Linked DNA regions of Drosophila melanogaster. The gene in region 3 interacts genetically with the main gene of each other region. Each region holds a gene or a part of one and is shown on either strand. Other genes may lie near its edges. The genes, in order: bsk, Pvf1, Pvr and Egfr.

Region 1 (5,502 bases), 2.0 Mb from region 3:
TTCACCAACGCAATTCTTTATTATCAAACCCACATTTATTCGCGATGACACTTTGCTGTTATCGTTATCGCAGCATAGGAATAACAGTACGAAGTTGCCATCCCGATCTCTACACCGGTGAGAGTTGCCAGCCCGATTTACACGCCGGCTTATTCGATACTAATTGAGTTATCGAATGACCGTTTGTTTCGTTTAAATTTAGTATAACAGTTTTTTATTTAATCATCATTTTAAATTTTTTGTATTTTAGAAATGTTTTTATCGGTAACTAAATTATCTACTTTCCATATTCTTGTATGAAACAAAATTTTAAAAGTATGTATCGACTTTATATACCGAAATAATTTATATGGTTAAACTTTTCCATTTAAATTTTATGAATTTATACAAAGATTAAAATGTAATTAGCTCCTGAAATCAGGACAATGAAATGATTAAACTGGTATTTTAACGATTTAACTTAAGAAAGCGGGCTCAAAAAACAAGGATGAGTAAGAAATTACAAAGTTTCGCATATTGATTTTATTTTTTAATGGTTACTATATTTTTAAATACAATTTGAATATTTTATTTGTTGTAATAATTTAACAATACACGCCGTATTGTTGGTAAGCTTTAGTTTTCTTGTGACTGACTAAGGAGGAAAAAGTCGTTCTCTACCGCGTTCTATTATTTGTATTGTGTGCTTCGTAGTCCATGACTTCCTCATAGATTAGCTCCTTCCACTGCTCCACAGTGTGTTCCCTTTCGTCCACGCTGTGATCATATGGCTCCGGAGCGGGCTGCAAGAGATGCATGCAATTAAGCGATTAAAAACATTCAACATTCCTAGAAATCCAGTTTATGCCAGAATCACTTACAGCATCCACTTCCTCAGCATCATACCACACGTTGATATATTCATGCTTCAAAGCCTCGTCCACAGATATCCGCTGCTCTGGATCAATGACTAGCATTTTACTAAGAAGATTTCTAGCGTCAGAAGCCTTCCGGCGGCTATTCTGATTATTATCATTTGGAAACAAGCCATCGGGGAAAAGTCTATCAAATGAGTATCCAGTGTATCTAGGACGATTTTCCACATAGTTTCGGACGGTTGGCTGTAACCGTTGCATAAACGAGGGTGATGGTGTACCTAATTGCTCTGAAAAAACGTAAAAGTTGACAATCATAACGAGAATCAAGTTATTTAAGCAGCAACATACCAATAATTTTATTCCACTGATCTATATGATCCGTTCCAGGAAACAGCACACCGCCCCGTATCATTTCGCCCATAATGCAACCGACGGACCATATGTCCACGTTCTCTGTGTATCCCATGCCCAAAATGACCTCTGGAGCCCTGTAATATCGGGTGACCACATAGGGAGTCATCATAAAGGTAGTTCCTGCAGTACGTGCCAGACCGAAATCCAAAATTTTTAGAGTGCAGTCGGCCTTTACAACTATATTGGATGGCTTTAAGTCCTGCAAATGAAGTATTTCATATATTTCATACTCATTTTAAAGATGTATTCATACTGTACGTACTCTGTGAATAATTCCTGCTGAGTGTAAATGTTTTATTCCGCACAACATTTGATAAAGCAAATAGGACATTCTGTCGTGATCCAAGTCCATTTGGATGACCTGGCAGAGATTAGCGTCCATCAGCTCCATGACCAGGTAGACATCCTGAAACTCTTCCAAGTTCCTTTGCGGCGTAAAAGCATTAAGTAAGCCAATTATCTACGGATTAAATACCTATGTTTAGTAGAAATTTGTTAAAGTTAAAGGTGCAAGTTTCATACGTTTTTATGGTTAACAAGCTTCATTAGCTTGAATTCCCTATATGCTCGCTTGGCATGGGTTACATTTTGGAATGGTCGAGATAGTTTCTTAATCGCCACATTTTGCTGGGTGATAGTATCGTAAGCGGCGCTGAAATGCATTAAATTTGTTATTTTTTTTTTTCATATTCCAGCTAATCCCATCTAATCTAATCTAATATACAATGGAGCGTTACAAATATGACTTCATACTCATGCGAAATATCTTAATTGTTTAAGCCAAAAAATTGTTAAATGTATTATATGTAATAACATATTGATAACCACTTACCATACTATTCCTTGGGCACCTGATCCTATGGGCCGTAGATTAATGTACCGACTGTGGATGGTGAAGTTGGTGTCCCCCACCTCGACGGTGTAGTGTTGGTGCTGAGCTGTCGTCATTGTTCACTGATTTTATTTATTACTAGTTGAGAGCAAGGAGCATATCGGCCTTTTCAAGAGGGTAAATAAGATAAATCAATACGGTTTTACAGTGTGATTCTGTTTTATATAAGGAGCAAAGACGTCCGTATGTATGGCTCCATTCTGAATGGGTGGAGGCAGTTTTCAGACAACTTCGTCTGGAATTAGGGGGTAGGAAAACATTAACTTTGCCTGGCCTTATTTCGGCAGAATGTTATGGCCATTAAGTGGGTCTCTGTTGTCGCGAGGGGTGAAATTTACTGGCTAGTGTGTGGCGAGTTTGTTGCCAAACCACGAGCAAAAAATATCGAGTTCCTTCAAAAAGATACAATTGCATAACGCAGTCACTTATTTGAGCCGACTTCGAATGCCGAACCCCCTTTTCTATTGATAAGCATTTAAATGTTTGCCGAACACATGTCGAATATGGTTGGAAAAACACCCAACAGAAATAACCGAGCGTTTCGTTCTTTGAGCAAAGTGTTTAGCGGCACGCACAGGAAAAAAAACCGATTTAAAATCGATATGTCCGGCTTAAACATAAAAGTACGGAATGTTGGACCACAGCGATGTACATAGCGTTCATGTGTATGCATGCCGTTGCCTGTGTAAATATGTACATACACACGATTTGTATGCGGATGAAAACTGTAAACTTCTACTGGTATACATATGTGTAAGATGTAAGCCACATACATACATATGCACATACAGCCACACAAATGTGGGTCGATAATTTAGTAACTTTTCAAACTATCTCTCAGATAAAAGATATTCCCCGTATTCGTACATCGAAAAAGCGCTCGTTTGCGCTGCAGATAATAAAGCGGTCTACGCTTCGGGTAGTGTCGATATGTAAACGTTAGACATTTGCGCATACATAGGTACATACACTCTTTGGGCAGTTGACATTTTATGTTAAATATCAATAATTTTTTTCATAACCGGCACAACTATAATTGCTTTCAATCGATTATGGCACGTTTTGCAGGAGTGTTTCGGTGATTCGATATTTGATGTGAATGGAACGTAATAGAATATTTATTTACCATTTAACGAAGAAGTACAGAATTTCTTGTGAAAATATAAAATCGATTTTTTTTCTATTTTATTCTACACACTGGGCACTCAAAGTGGCGAGCATTTTAAACTATGTTAATGTTATTGAAATTTAAGAATCAACTATCTGCGGCACTTTCGCATGAGAATAATTGTACATGGATACAATACAATATACGAAAATCTATTGGAATATTCGATCACAACAAAGTTACTTAAATCGATGTGACCAGATTGCAGTAGGACCAAAACCAGAAACGGCTAAAGTCAGCCAATCGACTTTTGATTAAAATTAGGTTTAATTAGGGGTTTAAAACCTAATAAGTGTTAATAACTTACAAATAAACATATACAAATGCAATTTATTTAATAAAGACCAAAAACTAAGTTGGCGCAGTGTTTCATTTCACCGTTCCGGTCATTAGATATTCCTTTGCTCGACTTATCGAGTATACATCGAATGACGAATGAGAAATACTGTCATCACTAACAATAAATAAAAACAAAAGAGTTGAAATACACAGCGATATGAGGACGGTTGGTTTTTGGCCACTGATGAATCACATAAGCTGATAAGTGCTAATTTTAAAATCTTGTCCTTGCAGTCATCACCAGCACTTAAATACCTATTGGAGAAGGATGTTCAGGTGTCGAAGCATTTTGTAGTAGCCGTCTCCAATCTGTCGTTCTTCAAATCCCTGCGGATCCACAGCAGATTTCTGGAGATATCATGCGATGGAATCGCCTGGTTTGTCTCATGGATCGCCTTCATCTGGTTGCTCAGCTCGAAGAGCTTGTATCAAATGCAAGTCAATATGCTCTTCGGCCTGATACTCGACGTAGTGATCGTGGCCGTGCTGAAGGCGCTTGTTCGTCGCAGGCGACCGGTGGCCAGCAAGGATATGCTGACCATTGGACCCGATAAGTTCAGCTTTCCCTCAGGTCATGCCTCCCGGGCGTTCTTTGTGCTGCTGTTCTTCGCCAAGCTGTATCCGCTTCACATCATATTCCTAATGCCGGTCACAGCTTGGGCTGTAAGCGTGGCCATCTCACGGCTCATCCTCCAGCGTCATTATATTTTGGATATCTGCGCCGGTGCTGCCATCGGAGTGTTGGAGGCACTAATCGTGGGACTTCTGTGGATCAGCGAGGAAACTGCATTTAGCATTGTGGGCTTTGTTACCGAGGAAACTGTCGACAGCATGGAGTAACGATAAGTTACGATTGGAACACCGAAAGCAATAGATAATCTCTAGATCATTATGATAAATGCTTTAACCAAATACATTGTTAATGTTAAATTCATATTATTGTGTATTTCGCATAATTTTTCTACCCTTATTTCACTGTGAAAAGGGAAAGTGTACTTTAAATGAGACTAAAGTCGTTATACAACCATCTTTAATAAAATAAATAAAGCTTTTGAAGATATTTGGATTATTAATTATAAGAAATTATAGTGTAATTCCTTTGTTCCGAGTCATAGCACTCCTAAATATATCGATTCATCGATAAGGAGTCAACAACCCCAACGACTTCGTCGGGGGATGAAATGTTGTATGCCACATAAAGTTTTCGCGAAAGGATAAATACAAAAATATTTTCGGAATCGTTGGCATGTCAATTGGACTATTGAAATAACAAAAGGCTTCATATTGTTAGCTAGATTAAGCAATATGAACAAATACTCGGCATTTATAGTCTGCATTTCGCTCGTGCTTTTATTTACAAAAAAGGATGTGGGGAGCCATAATGTGGACTCAAGAATATATGGGTAGGTATTTTCACTGAAAGTTTTCCCAAGTTTCCGCAACAATAATTAGCGAAATACTTTTGTGTGGAATTAATAATTAATGAAATCATGAGCTTAACATGTTTTATATATTTTTAAATTACTAAACATAGTGTATACTCGAATGCAGAAATCTTTAGACGCCCTTATCCTTTTAATCCTTAAAAATGCAATATATTATTTGCCCTGCAGTTTCCAGCAATCATCAGGTATTTGCCATATTTACAATGGCACCATTTGTCGCGATGTCTTGAGCAATGCCCATGTTTTCGTATCCCCCAATCTCACCATGAACGATTTGGAGGAGCGATTAAAGGCAGCTTATGGAGTAATCAAGGAATCCAAGTGAGTATGATAACTATTTCAACATTCCGTTGCTAATGCCAAGTGCATATTTTCAGGGATATGAAC
Region 2 (4,853 bases), on a different chromosome or scaffold from region 3:
GGAGGCCCGGCTGGAGCGGCATCGGGAGCGAAAGCACAACGATGGCCAGTTCCTGTGCCTGCAGTGCGGCAAGAAGTACGCGTCAGCCACGTTTCTTTACCGTCATGTTGCCAGTTGGCACGGCCAGCAGTCGCTGTTCTACTGCGACATGTGCACGGACAACTGCAACGACGTTAAGACCTTTAGCGGGATGCTGGAGCTGCAGGAGCACGCCGAGGAGGTGCATCGCCTGCGTACCCTGAAGTCCACGGCCAGTGATGCAGGTAGGTATTCTGCTTACGAGTAGTTGTGATGTTAATGGCATACCCTGCTTAATAATACTATTCAATCCGATCCCTGCAGACAGCCAGGTTGATGAAATGGAGGATCTTGAGATGCTAGAGGAGAACATTGAGAACATACTGCCCAGCATCGACTGGGACGACGATCTCACCTTTGGCTGGCCCACCGACCTGGACAAGGAGTCGTGCATTGTGAACGCTAAGCCGAGCGTTTTCGTGTGTCCCTTCTGCGCCAACGGATTCCCCGGCAGTCTGAGCCTGGTGCGGCACCTGGAGCAGGTTCACGAACGCAGTGCCCTGGACTGCTGCTACTGTGGCAAGAGCCATGGCAGCCGAGAAGCCCTGCGGTCCCATCTGCAACGTGTTCACATCCTCTTGCGCGGTCATGTGTGCGGTATTTGCCAGGCGGACTTCGCCACTGCTGATCACCTAAAGAAGCACGTTAACAGTCTGCACCTGGACCACCGACCGCATCTGTGTCCCACGTGCGGAAAGAGATTCACCCAGCGGTGCCACCTCACCGATCACATAAAGACGGATCGCGGCCATGGACACGGCACTTACACCTGTGAATTCTGCGTGCGGCCCTTCTTCCGGGCCATCGATCTCGAACGGCATGTGTGTGAGGAACATCCGTAGGGCAGTCAACCTAGCCGGAATCGTAGATACCTGAGCGACATCTCACGTCCAGAACTACGATTAATATATACTTAAGCAATGGATAAATGTAACGTTTTAATAGCGTTAATATTTTGAATTTATATCCTAGTCATCGGAAATGTTTTTCCAAACGAACTTGAATTTAAAATCGTATTTTATTTTTTGCTGTAAAATTAATGCTTATGAGACGATTTACATTTACATCTTAGGAACTATAGACATAAGCGAATAGTTACTTTAATATAGCAAGCAGATGGCTGAAAGACAATGTACTTATATGAATAAAAAAATATCAATACATGAAGTCAGGTTAATAGAAACGGGCACAATTGAAATATTTTCTAAGGAAAGTTTGAAAGAATGAAAGATTGCCTAAAGAAAGTTTACAGATTATTGCTGCGTAGTGTTAACATAATGTAAAATGTCACACTAAAATGAATACTTTGAAAATAACGATGAAATAGTGCAGCTTTATGAGTAATATTTATCATCACCACAACACTGATTAATCAGATAATATACTCCATTTCCACCAATAGACAGATAATAGAATGTAACATATGTATTGTTCATGTTGCTCTATATATATTTAAATTTAAAATCTCAGCGAGCCTCCTGAGCGAGGGTGTGCGTAAGTCGAGATCGCGCTCTCCCAGCGTTAACTGTTAACAGTGAAACCCATCCGCTCCGCTCCAGGCCCCAAGATCGGGAGAGTAATGAGCGGAGCGGTTCGGTTCGGATTGGATGTGAGTGTTGCGGTACAGAGCGGAGAGCGCAATGCTGCGACAGCTGGGTACTGTTACTGTTACTGCAACAGTTACTGCTACTGCTATTGTTATTGGCGACTGTGGTGATAGGGGCGCAGTAACTTGGCCCACACCGACGAGTCGACAGTTTTGAACGGAACTTGCTGGTGCTTGGATCGCAGCTCCGCCGATCTCCGCGAGGCTAACACCACAAACTTAAACGCGCTCAAATATATATCACAAATTATTAAATACAAAACCCCCCATTTGTGCACACATATTTTTTGTTGTTTGTTTTTCGTTTCGTGCTAACCGATTTGTGCCATTGAACTTCGTGTAAAACATAATATTTAGAATTTTCAAGCCGTGTTTCCATAAAGTAAGTGGTGCTTCTCAAAATTTCAACATTTCAACACAAATCAGCAGCGTAAACAAACAAGCCAGCGACCCTCGACTACATCTAACATTTAAACTGAAACTGCTTTTTGTTATTGTTTATATGGTTTTCCACTTCTGCCCCACTAAAGCCGGGCCTTTTAAAAAGCTCTCCACAGCGCACAGCCTTTTGTTATATATATGTTTTTTTTCCCCAATAGCTTTCGAGCAAAACCAGAACACCATTTTATCATTAACAAATGCAAAAAAAAAAAAAACCAAACAAAACAAAAAAGTACAATTGCAATTAACGTTTTTTGATCTGGCTGTTGAGTTATTCCAGTGGCTGTGTGGAAAACCCAGTGAAAATGTTGCGCTTGAATTCCTAAAAACAAAGTCTAAGCCGGGCTTAATCGTTATTCAAATCAAACTACGTCAAATCGCGTGCGAATATAAGATTTGTGAATCACAAATGAAAGTGAACTTGGCTTAAATGTAGTCGCTGCCTTAAACTGCAATATATCAAGTTGTTTATGATCGAGTTATTGCGGATAAATCGTCAATAAAGTTCAATAAACTAATGCTGGCAATGTGTTCAAAGTTCCTGTTTTTTTTTTTTTTTTTTTAATTTATAACATTTTAGAACAAAAATGCCATTTTTAAGAAATAATTTATTTTGAAATGCACATTTGCGGGTTTTCATTAAAAGAAAACACGTTTAATGATAATGTTTGCTCACAAAAGTCACACATTATATATTATGTGATGAATATTAAAATATTATAGTAAACGTTTCTAATTATAACGTATATTGTATGAAACAACTGGAGAACTTTGATATCCTAGAAAGGAAACTATACCTTGAGCAAGTGACACCTTCACTAAACTTAAAAAAGAAAACAATTATTTTAGATATGCCCTAGTTTTTTAAAAACTTGTTCATATTTCCGCCTTCCAAAAGTTGAAATCGGTTAATCTTAGACTCGCATTCCAGACGTCGCCGTTGACCCGATCCCTTTGGGAGCCCTTTGGGAGCAAATCCATAATTTATCTTGTAGAGCTTGTAGAACCCACTGCCCATTGTCCATTGCCCATTGCCCTCCTGTTGGTCCAAGTTTTGTGTTTTCTTGTTTGTTGTTTGCTCTACTGCTCCCCCGTCTACATGGGCCCATGGATGCAGTGGAGTTATTATCATGTCTATATTGTAATTGATTTGCCTGAGCGAATGACCAGACGGGAAGACAAGCTATGGGCCTGTTCCCTGATCTGCCACGCCTCCGCCCGCGCCGCGCCCGCGGTCTTATCATTAACGCTTGAGTCTTCCTTTTGTATTGGAATTCTTGTGCGGGGAGCAATTGCCTGGCGGGAGGCACTCCCTTCGCGTAATTAAGGACCGCCCAAGTGGGGATCGCGATTCCGAGATGATTCCTTTTGGTTCCTCGCCTTCTCCTCCTTGAGATTACTTGATATGATTTGATATCTTCGGGTGACGCACCGGGAAGGAATGCCTCGAAAGTGTGAGAATAAATACAGCTGACACCTGCGCAAACTAAATACAGATCATATGGGTATCGTCTATCGACTATATGATACCTGAGGCATGGATATATGCATATGATAGCCTTATAAGTTTAATATTCCTAAAGAAAGCTTGTAAACAGTGGCTTGATTGCGTTTTTTGAAACTAAATGCTGATCAGATTTCGCCAAAGTTAGCATACCTTTTTTTAGTACAGGGTACTAAAAGCAATCAGTATGAGGAGTAACAAAAGCCTGTCGCTTTCGCAATAAGTACATATTCGCATTCATATATATAATTTAAAAACGTGCTTAATTTTGTAATCTGCCTTTCCCCCTTACCACTACTCCCATCTATCCGTCTCCCTGTGGTCGATCTGTAATATCTGCGCTGACGAAATGCCTCAGTAGCAACAACAACAAAAACAACAACAACTGATAACTGATAACTGACTAGACGCACAAGTTAACCGTTGAATCGGGTTAAAGAGACCTTCGATGTGACAGGTTGTGCAATCACCAGCGGCCCACCCGTCGAACGAACATCCTATAGAGGTTTTAAGAATCTGCATTATATTTTGAATCTTGTTTTCAGTTTGTAAGATCTATTGAAATTCTTTGCAGATAGATTAGTAAATTACTTGATATCTTTTTAATTCCAATTGAAAATTATTCCGAAACTGTTAAGCTAACAGCTGTTACTCCACACAAAGCTTGTGCAGCAGCCGCCAAAAAAAAAAATAAAAACAGAGCAACAACAACAAGACGGCACAGAGGAATGTCAAGATGAATCACACAGGTGTGCGTGACACCTGGCAACAGAGAAAGAGAGAGGGAGGGAGAGCGATGAAAAGAATAACAACGTTTGGTCTGTCATATCAATCGGTATTTGCTTAACTGTTAAAAAGAGCCAAGAAATGTAAGGAAAACAGAAAGGAAAACAATGATAGCTGAATTCCGTGTGCGTGTGTGTGTGTTGATTGCAGCCCACAAATAAACACTTGTGCACCCATTGCACCTAAAACGCAAGTGCAGAAACATACACACAAATTGAAACTCCCGAGGAGTACCGTTACAAGGCGAGCTTAAAGCTATTTTTAACACCATCCGATCTTGCTCTCCTTCCCCACCCCTTTCCACACCCCTCTTACCCATTCTGCTATCTCCTTTCCTGTGTTGTTTTTTGCACCACTTCTCACTTTGCTTTTCTTCGTCTTGCCCTCATACACTGCACGAAACCAGGATCACTTTAAAACGCTTTGTCCGCATATTCC
Region 3 (4,578 bases):
ACTCTCAGTTTGGCTAATCGCATATACGTGAACAAAAAGTTCCAGCTAGTACCGAGTTACAATCAGATGGTCAAGGATTCATTTATGGCTGAAGCGGAGGCAATCGACATTGTCGATCCCAATAAGGCTTCTTCAATTGTCAATAATTGGGTAGATAATCAGACGCGTGGTAAAATCAAAGACTTAGTTTCATCCAATGACATGTCGAAAATGGAATTGATCGTCTTAAATGCCATATACTTTAAAGGCCAGTGGGAGTACAAATTTAATCCCAAGTTAACGAAGAAGAGGAATTTCCGTGTTTCGGATCAAAAGAGTGTTCCTGTCGAGATGATGTCACTATTTCAATCATTTAGGGCCGCACATGATAGTGAACTGGGTGCCAAAATTATCGAGCTGCCCTACAGAAATTCAAGCCTGTCCATGCTAATTTTTCTACCGGACCAGGTCGATGGACTATCAGAGCTGGAGAAAAAGATTGTAGGATTCAAACCGAAACTTTCCAAAATGGATGTAACTTTAAGGCTTCCCAAGTTTAAAATCGAATTCTTCGCTCAACTAAACAAAGTTCTTGTGGCGGTGAGTATTCACAGATTATTCTTGATACACCCTTACAATTTATAGATATTCATCTATAGATGGGCATACAAGATGCGTTCGAAAAATCTGCTGACTTCAAAGATCTGGTCGAAAACAGTAACGTTCATGTGAAAAAAGTCATTCATAAGGCGTTCATCGAGGTTAATGAAGAAGGAGCTGAGGCAGCGGCTGCAACAGGTATGATATAATTTTATTATATATATATTTGTATAATATGTTTTATTTTTGCCAGCTTTACTTTTCGTGCGCTATAGTATGCCTATGCCGTCATCTCAAATGGTTTTTAATGCCGATCATCCTTTTGCCTATGTCATTCGCGATAGGGAAACCATTTATTTCCAGGGCCACTTTGTGAAACCGAATGAATAAAATGTACTATTTCTTATCAATAATAAATGGAAATTGTATTATACTTTATTGTAGAATAAAAGGATTTACCAGTTTCCTGAAAATATTTAATAGGTGGAAAGTAGTGAAAATGCTATAGTCGAGACCCTTATAAATCACAATCCCCTTACTCAGCTGACAAATCGTTAGAAATGCTTAAATGATACTAAATATTATTTAATAAAAGAAAACTTTATTTTAAGCACTTCGATCTAAAACTAAAACCGTTAGGAAATTTAGTACGCATGGCATCACTGGCCGCCACTGGCCAACTGGAACTGTTTTCAAGCGGTCTGGCATCGCCGCGAATAGCGTGATTGCGTTCAATTTTTAGCTCGTTATTTAGTACACTTCACCTTTCAAAATAATAATGAAATAATAATAAAAGGAAACTAAACGAGAGATAAACTCCCTAACGAAACAAGAAAATTCAAATGATGTTGACTAAAGATATAACAAAAATATTATTCTATCCGTTCTATTCTACATGCTGTAGATAACGCTCATCGATAGCAAAAAATAACAATCGAATCGGATACCTCGATAGTACCGTCGATAGTGCCCCAGCTCTAGTTAACGTTAACTTTTCGAGCTGTTCGGACGTCAAAGCGGAAGGAAATTTCGCGGGCTTTTGACTTGTGTTCGGTGCAAACTGTTCAAACTTTGCCGACGACGCAGTATTTATTGTCTTTCAAGAGCAACCGATACTGCTGAAGTGCCCCACGCAGAAAGTGTTAAGCACAGAAAACCACAACGTAAGCGTTAATTTTTGAAAGGCTCGAAGATACGTCCGATAATATAGATATAGAATCGTGTGGAAACGAAACCAAATCGTGTCGTATATAAGTATAAGTGAAGCATCAAAGGTGCTAAGCAAATGAATCCGCACTCAAAAGTTTAGATATCGATGTGAGCGAACCCCCACACCTTCGCAAAAGTAAAAAACAAACACAGATACGAATCGGAATTCGAATACAAGTGCAAACTCAGCCACAGGTGGTTGACAAGAGTTCTAAGTGATTGTCAATCGTAAGCTCGAAAATCGAAATCGAATTCGGCGCTCGTGATGTTGCTCAATTCGATGCAATTATACAAAAAAAAAACACCCAAAATAGTCATGGTCACTATGCTCCTATAGATGGTGTACATAATGAACTATTATCAGTGACCTTTTTCTAAGTGCGTGTGTGTGTGTGTGTGCTATTATCACTGCCTGGTATTATTCATTGATAAGTGCATATAAGTGTTGGGTCTACGAAAAGTGTGCGTGTGTCTATGGTGAATACGTCAGCGGCATTCCAAGTAATCAAGACTGCAAACATCCACCGGTGCCAGGTATTCAAATCGTGATTCATCGCCGATCGTGACTGTTGTACGTTCAAAAGTTGTTGTTGTATCTTCAATAGTTGTTGTTGTTGCCAAGCTGCTGCGATCAAACGGTAGACTGCGTAAGACTATGAAAATATGAATAACACTACGATGGATTTCGAATTTACTCATACTGCTTTTCCAGAAACACCCAAATAAAGTTGGTATATATACATATATATGTACATATATATATAGAAGAAAGGGTTCACCTTTCTTTTGTTTGCCTGGTCAACTGAATGTGTCTATAGCGACTTTCTTAAACCGGTTCCACGCCATCCGTTTCTTGACCAAACGAACTGTTGATACATTTTCCCCCAATACGTGACTCAGGATCGAGAAGTTCTGATCAAATCAGATGCCCATAATTCATTGCCTCCAATTGCACACTGTGCCCAATTTGTTTATTGAATACAGACCTCCTTCAGTTTGCCGACTGCTCCATTTATCTCTGGCCACTTCAAAAGGCTGCCCAGCCCAGGCTGTTGTTAATTGCCATCGTTCTCAATGTCCGGAAAATGTGGTACAAAACTGCTACGAATCGTCAAAGTTTGGAGTCATAAAAATGTCCGCGAATGGTGTTGATGAAATATTTATTGTAATTCCCCTGGCCAAATTCGCAATTCACCTGGCATCAAGCGTTGAACAACTGTTGTGATAAGCCAGAATAATCAATGGATACTAGTGGTTCTTGGAAAATGTGCACCCATCACATTGCTACTGGCCACTTGCACCTCTTTTTCACACCTACCCATTATGCACATGGCACATTAATCAGGTGGGGCTTATGGCCAAGTATCCACCAGATACGCACACCTGCCCCGCCCCCCGCAGTGGGTGTCAAATTAGAGATACTTTACTGTAGTTGATTGTGCTGAAGTAGAGAGCTCCATTACGAATAAATTACTTTGTATGCACTGGAAAAAATGAACAAAGTAGTTCTTTCGCATTAATAGAAACTAATTATAAATACACACAAAATATTTAAGCAGAACTCGCCGAAAATAGACTTCAAAATAATCAAAGAATGTGTGTGACAACGAATTTGTGTGCATTTCAAGCGATTGTAATATCTCTAGAGATATTTAGAATGCTGATATGTATTATTGCACAAGAGATCTTTTTAATCTCAAGAGGATTGCTTATGCACAGAAGATTGACTTCCTGTTGTAGATAAAAACACTAGAATTGAGTTTAGGTACATTTTGTACATCTGTAGAGAGAAAAATCATTTTGCGTTTCTCTAAGGCAGTTCGGATAAGCTGAAACATTTTTGAGAAACCCCTTAACTCTTTGGGCGAATTGGCTCATAAATTTCCATTTAAGATAATATCTGTTTAATTGAATTTGCCGGTTACCAATAAGCCATAAATAAAACCGATTCGTTGGACAATCTCGGCCAGCATTGAACACGTTTTCACACCACTTTGTTGGTTGGCTGGCTGGTTGGTTGGTTGGTTTGGCATTCTATGAATGGACACCTTCGCCTCTTTACATCCGCCGTGGTCTGAGTCAGAACGTAAATAATAAATAACAAATAATAAATTGACAGCGGACAACAAATGTTTTGGCCAGGCCATTGTAACTGTCTGCATGGAGAGGTGGAAATAACTTGGCCATAAATCTGCAAAAAAAAAGGCTAAGCAGGCAATTGGCTTTCACCTGAGCCCTAGACTAAAGCCCATTCATAAGCGCTGGAAACTTTAGACTAAAGCCCATTCGTTGGGAAAATTTTATCTGCCCCATAAACTGCACGTAATCAAGTGCACTTCGGAGAATCAGGGAAATAAGAAAATATATGTATATATATATATAAAAGCAATCTTATTTCCGTCGGGAATAAAATGGCAGAAGGCAGCCAGCCAGTCAAAACAAAAAATGCATTGAGTAAACAAATCGCATAAAATTGAGCCATGTTTTGAGGTCACGGCGAGGCACTAAATGGGCTATATACATTGGCCATATTTATTTATTAATCGGGCGAAACCCAAAACAAACAAATTAAACACTTGTCGGCTATTAAGTGAACGCATATAACATTTCTATTTATTCGCCAGCAGCTGGCCAACCAACCAACTTGTTGTCGCCACGCGTTGTAGTTGTATAATATGTGGGCAGAATGCCAACGATTCAATTTCACCGGCAATGGTCTTTCTATTATTTTTATTAAGTTCCCAGTTTATGGAAAAGAAAAGAAACAACTTTTCCAAATCTCTCGAGTGA
Region 4 (5,016 bases), on a different chromosome or scaffold from region 3:
AAACCAGTGGAGAGATCATAGACAGATGGAGTGCTGCACTGGAGTGGGGGAGTTAAAAAACATTTCTCTTCGCATGGCATTTTGTACGCTTGATCAAATGTTTATGAGTGTGGGTCGGGGCATCTTGGAATCTCAGAATCTCGGCATCTTACACCTCTCGAGCGGCGTTTACCTGTGGTTCGTACTGGCGGAGTTGGTGGAGTGCCCTGAAGTGGTTTCAGAGTTCTGAGTTCTAAGATCGTTCTCAACTCGATGTTCGGCTGTCAGTTGCATGCTCTTCGATTTTGACAGATGATTCCGTACGGTTTGGGCAGTGTACCTTTTGATTGAGGTCTTCTGGCTTGGGACAGACGGCTATTAATATGTTTGATTATGGCTGCAGACCGGAGCATGGCGCTTTTACCCCATCGTGGAAATCTGTGGAAATGCTTTTCAATTTAAATGTATTTTCATGCTCTGAAACAAAGCGCCGAGCAAGACAATGCAACGCCTCTCGAGAGTCACAGCGTGGGATTCGAGATTCAAATGTGGACCGAGGAGTTAGTTGCGCTTTTCCAAGTGCACCTTTTGTATTTCTGTTATGGCAAAGTGAAAAAGGTCAAAACGCTTCGGATTTACCTGCCGAAACAGTGTCCTTTTGGCCCGATCCCGCAGAGCACATGGCGCAGGCGTAAAAACCCCGATTTCTTGTGGGCTGGGAACAGGTGAAGAAGAGGCCAACGAGATCTCGGTCTTGGATCTGCCCTAACAATGTTGACAACGCTCGTACAAAAATCTTTTTGCCAAAAGACAATCCATGGCCCACGCAGGCTCGGCTCACAGACACAGATGCAGATGCGGGCACAGTTACACACACAAACACACACAGATACAGATACAATTGCCGAGATCTTTTGTGCTTATATGGCAGCATTGCCCACACATACCCATGTATATACAGCCAGGTGAGAGAGCGGCGATCGCTTTACCTGAACGCTCTCAAATTCGCCGCAACAACAGAACCTCCAACAACAACAACAACAACAGCAGCAGTGTCAAGAAATTGGGATATACACAAGATCTTACCTGGGAACGACCTGCAATCGATGCGAATCTTAAATGCCCTGCACAGCTGTCGGAGTTAAGATGCTGTCGGATAATCCCCGCATTGGTTTTTTTGCTCTTGTCTTTGCTATTGGGCATTTTGGGGGGAGGGGAAAATCAGGACATTGTTGCTCAAGTACTTTCCTTTGTTGGAAAACTCGTCTCTGCAGTTGAAAAGGCTATTTATGGCGCCTTCTTAATCCTACCTAAACTTTGCTATCTTAAAACTGAGGTTGTTGCGTATAAATGCTTCTTAACTTTTTTAACATAAATCCCGTGTGTATATTATTTATACACGCCCTGTATATCGAGCAACATATTTTGTGCAAAAAGATTGTCCTTCTTTGGTATCCACTCTTCAAGCTTGGGATACTTAACCGCTCTGAGCCATGTACTCTATGTTAAGATTGTTAGTTGAAGTTATGTTCTGCGAACTTAAGATCTCTAGTTGGTGTTTCCGTTCATTTGAGATGGCGCTAAATTCGATTCTGTGCATTAGGGCCAACGTTTAGCATTTTCCCATGATATGTAGAGCATTTGCTGGTCTGGGGGAAGATTGCCCAATGTATCTGGCCGTATCGTTTCGTATTACGCTGACTTTTTAAAATGCTGCTGCTACGTTTACGATTACCTGTGGATTGTGGATGGAGATGGTCCGCTGGCGGTGCGAGTGGGAACGCTGCACTGAGCGAGCGAGAGGTGGCGACAGCGGTGCGCAGCTGTGCCGTAGTTGTTGCTGTATCGCTGGCTTTGCTTTTATTTTGACCTGATCTGAGCTCGAGATTTCGCCGTTCACCTTTATTTTTACCTGTGCGCGCTCTTTTCGCCGCAATCGAGAGTAAGAAACACGGCGAGAGAGTGAGAGAGAGAGACAGAGAGGGAGCAGCGCCTTTTGGCTGCGGCTTTGGCCTCAGTCTCGAATACAACTTGTTGCTGCGCGGACGCGAATCGCTCAGTACGGACGTCTTGAGCTCGAATCCTCGGCCATATCTGTGCTCTCGATCGCAGCGTTTGCTAATTCGAAGATCGTGCTAATCGAAGTACCGAGAAATCACAGTTCGCAAAACGACCAAAACCAAAGCCAAAAACGGGGTGTAAGCCAAGTGCCTTTGGCCTATACTATACTACTAAGCGTATTTTTGTGAATACCCTGCTAATTGGCAGCCGCGGCTGTGGCGGTTGTGGCTCAGTTCGAATGATGGCCAAGTGTGTGTGTTTTGTGCAAGTTAACCGCTGCGGGGGCAACACAACAATTGCTTAGGGCAATCAATTAAAGCTGAAAGCTAAGAGCTGCGCCTGCGCACGCCTCTCTAACCTCAAAAATCGTTGGCGAACTCAAAAAAGAAGCTGAAAAATACATCTGAAAAATAACAAAAATTTTATTTTTTACATACACTCATATATATATATATATATATATGAAAGCCTTCGGACGACTCTTGTGGCTCGTAATGTGAAACTGGTTCCTACACTCACGCACACACTCACTCACTGGCGCGTTCAAAAGACCCACTCGAAAACACACACTCACTCTCACGCGCATACACAGTGAAATGTAAACACCAATACAGTGGCAAATTGCAACGACAACAGCTTAAATTCAAAACAACAACAACAACAACAGCAACCGCAGCAAACGCAGTGAAAGAGTCGAAATCAAATTTATGAAAAGCTGTATTTTTGGCACGCAAAGCTGAGTGAGCAAAAAGCCGAAAGTAAACCGCAAGTTCAAGAAAAAGAAACGAATAAAAAATAACCCCTATGACGTCAGGGGTTATAGCTTGGAAGAGGGCTTGATTCATCCCACCAGTAACGCCCACAAAAAGCACCAACCACCAAACCACCCACCGCCCCGCAACAATGCTGCTGCGACGGCGCAACGGCCCCTGCCCCTTCCCCCTGCTGCTCCTGCTCCTGGCCCACTGCATTTGCATTTGGCCCGCGTCGGCGGCCCGCGATCGCTACGCCCGCCAGAACAATCGCCAGCGCCATCAGGATATAGATCGCGATCGGGATCGAGATCGATTCCTATACCGCAGCAGTTCGGCCCAAAATCGACAGAGGGGCGGGGCCAACTTCGCCCTGGGACTGGGAGCCAACGGAGTCACCATTCCCACCAGTCTGGAGGATAAGAACAAGAACGAGTTCGTCAAGGGGAAAAGTAAGTGCACCGCAAGGATCTATCCATCTTCCTCAAGCCGCCCATCATCTATCAAAATGTGTTTATGTAGATCATCTGGCTGACTGACTGGCTGCCCATATATCAAAAGAGCCAAGTCGTCCCGAATTTGGCCACCGTATCAGTTGGTCTCTAGAGTTTCCACCGTTTTCAGGTGTTTTTTTTTTTATTGTAGTTTCGTGCCAGCGATATGCTGTCGTTTATCTTATCGCTGTGATGTTTTTTTTTTATTTTTCCCCTGTACTGCACTTTAAATATAGCTTCGTTTTCGGCTGCATTTCGTATTATTTGGTCTTATCGTTACCCTGGGAATATCAATTATCGAGGGGTAGCTGCAAAGTGTGCAATATTACAAATATTTTACTAAGCTCATAGATTAAAAAACACTTGCAATAGTGTGTGAATTCGTAGTATTTTAAGTAATATAAGCTTACTTAACATTTATGTGTCTGGAATATGGACTTTGAATGATATTTCCCAATATCACGTATACGCCAGGGTATCCCCTAGTCCAGAGTGAATGCTCCCTCCATTTAATACCTGCCCTTCGCGACGGTCTCACCTGCCCTGTGGCTCACCTCTTGACTTGGCGCTGGCTTAGTCAAAGAGTCTTGTGTGCACTATCGCCCCTGTTTCGAGTTACCCCCACACCTAGCCATCAGATATCACGGCAAACATACCAGAATACCAGAACGCACTGATTAGCCAAGCACTGAGCACTGTGCTGTGCATTTCGTAATGTCAAATGTACAAGGTAAAGCGTAGTAGTTAGTTAGTGTTAAGACCGCCCGATTTTTCCACTCTGCCACTTTTCCCGCCGTCTGCGTGCCCTTTTCTGTGCATCAGCAGCAATTGCAATTGCAACAGCAAAAGCAACAGTAAGAGCAATAGGGCAACTGCAACTAGCGACACAATTTCCAGCTAAAATGGCGACTCAATTTGTTGACTCTGCAGTTCTCGAGGTTTTCTTTGTGGGCTCTTTGTTTCTTACCCGTTGGAAAATAAATTAATACACAAAATTTGGTATTCGCATATTGGAAGTTTTGGCTGCTTGGCTGGCTGGCTGTATGTTTGGGTAACCATTTGGCCACAATTTAATGAACTCCATGGCGTATCTGGCGGTGTCTGTTTGCACAGTACTTTGAGGCAAATGTTTGTATTCGGCGGGCAAACAGAAAAGTAAAAATTAAATGGGAGGCGAATAAAAGCGGGCCGTCGATACCAAGTACTCAGTGATCTTGTAGCTGCAAATTAATAACTGAATGTGCGCATTGTGCGCCAGCAACTGTGCAAATATTGATAGGAAAACGAAAACTTTGGCTACGCAGTCTATGCTAATGGGAGACGGGAGACCACCACCGCATAGCCGGATATGTGGATGTGGTATGTATGTATGTATGTATGGCTAGATAAGCGAGTTATGAAACCGATAAAGATGCCAGAACCTTAAAAAGCGATATTACCCTTTTTTTTCGCACAGACGATCGCTGCTGTCACAATGCCCTTTTCGCAGAAATTGTTCGAGTTATTTGCTCTGGCTTACTGTTTCGCTGTTTTCTTTATGACCATAAAAATAAGCACAGCTGCGGCATGTATGCAAATAAATGCTAGAGAAAAGCCTGCACGTGCATTCGAATCGAAACCGTTAAAAAAATCGTTGGGGGTAGGAAACTCGAACAACTGGCAATTGTTGTTGACGTCTTTATAGTTCAAAACGCTACACTCGCTGGCAAAAAATCACCTTTTAATTGTTC

Evidence for each region.
Region 1: of Pvr (region 3) and bsk, changing one enhances a phenotype caused by changing the other (phenotypic enhancement), as found in Drosophila melanogaster (2 studies listed by BioGRID).
Region 2: of Pvr (region 3) and Pvf1, changing one enhances a phenotype caused by changing the other (phenotypic enhancement), as found in Drosophila melanogaster (3 studies listed by BioGRID).
Region 4: of Pvr (region 3) and Egfr, changing one enhances a phenotype caused by changing the other (phenotypic enhancement), as found in Drosophila melanogaster (4 studies listed by BioGRID).

Annotation. Positions count from the first base shown.
Region 1 is NT_033779.5:10,246,992-10,252,493, forward strand, and holds bsk (basket), read right to left. Parts: upstream 3,511-5,502; 5' UTR 3,290-3,510; intron 2,752-3,289; exon of another isoform or gene 2,269-2,751; 5' UTR 2,220-2,268; coding exon 2,104-2,219; intron 1,924-2,103; coding exon 1,794-1,923; intron 1,732-1,793; coding exon 1,534-1,731; intron 1,471-1,533; coding exon 1,206-1,470; intron 1,145-1,205; coding exon 861-1,144; intron 783-860; coding exon 657-782; 3' UTR 511-656; downstream 1-510. Other genes in the region: CG31717 (uncharacterized protein), read left to right, coding at 3,828-3,836, 3,905-4,510; Ror, read left to right, coding at 4,976-5,073, 5,284-5,436, 5,493-5,502. UniProt on the Drosophila melanogaster protein: Mitogen-activated protein kinase and key component of the c-Jun N-terminal kinase (JNK) pathway which phosphorylate and activate transcription factors involved in a wide range of biological processes including response to various stresses, cellular proliferation, differentiation and migration, and regulation of cell shape.
Region 2 is NC_004354.4:18,830,881-18,835,733, forward strand, and holds the start of Pvf1 (PDGF- and VEGF-related factor 1), read left to right. Parts: upstream 1-1,801; 5' UTR 1,802-2,066; intron 2,067-4,853. Other genes in the region: CG7101 (uncharacterized protein), read left to right, coding at 1-263, 343-920.
Region 3 is NT_033779.5:8,236,856-8,241,433, reverse strand, and holds the start of Pvr (PDGF- and VEGF-receptor related), read left to right. Parts: upstream 1-1,555; 5' UTR 1,556-1,742; exon of another isoform or gene 1,743-2,515; intron 2,516-4,578. Other genes in the region: Spn28F (serpin 28F), read left to right, coding at 1-579, 639-777, 833-969.
Region 4 is NT_033778.4:21,544,648-21,549,663, forward strand, and holds the start of Egfr (epidermal growth factor receptor), read left to right. Parts: upstream 1-1,995; 5' UTR 1,996-2,943; coding exon 2,944-3,244; intron 3,245-5,016. UniProt on the Drosophila melanogaster protein: Receptor tyrosine kinase, binding ligands of the EGF family and activating several signaling cascades to convert extracellular cues into appropriate cellular responses. Known ligands include spitz, gurken, vein and giant-lens.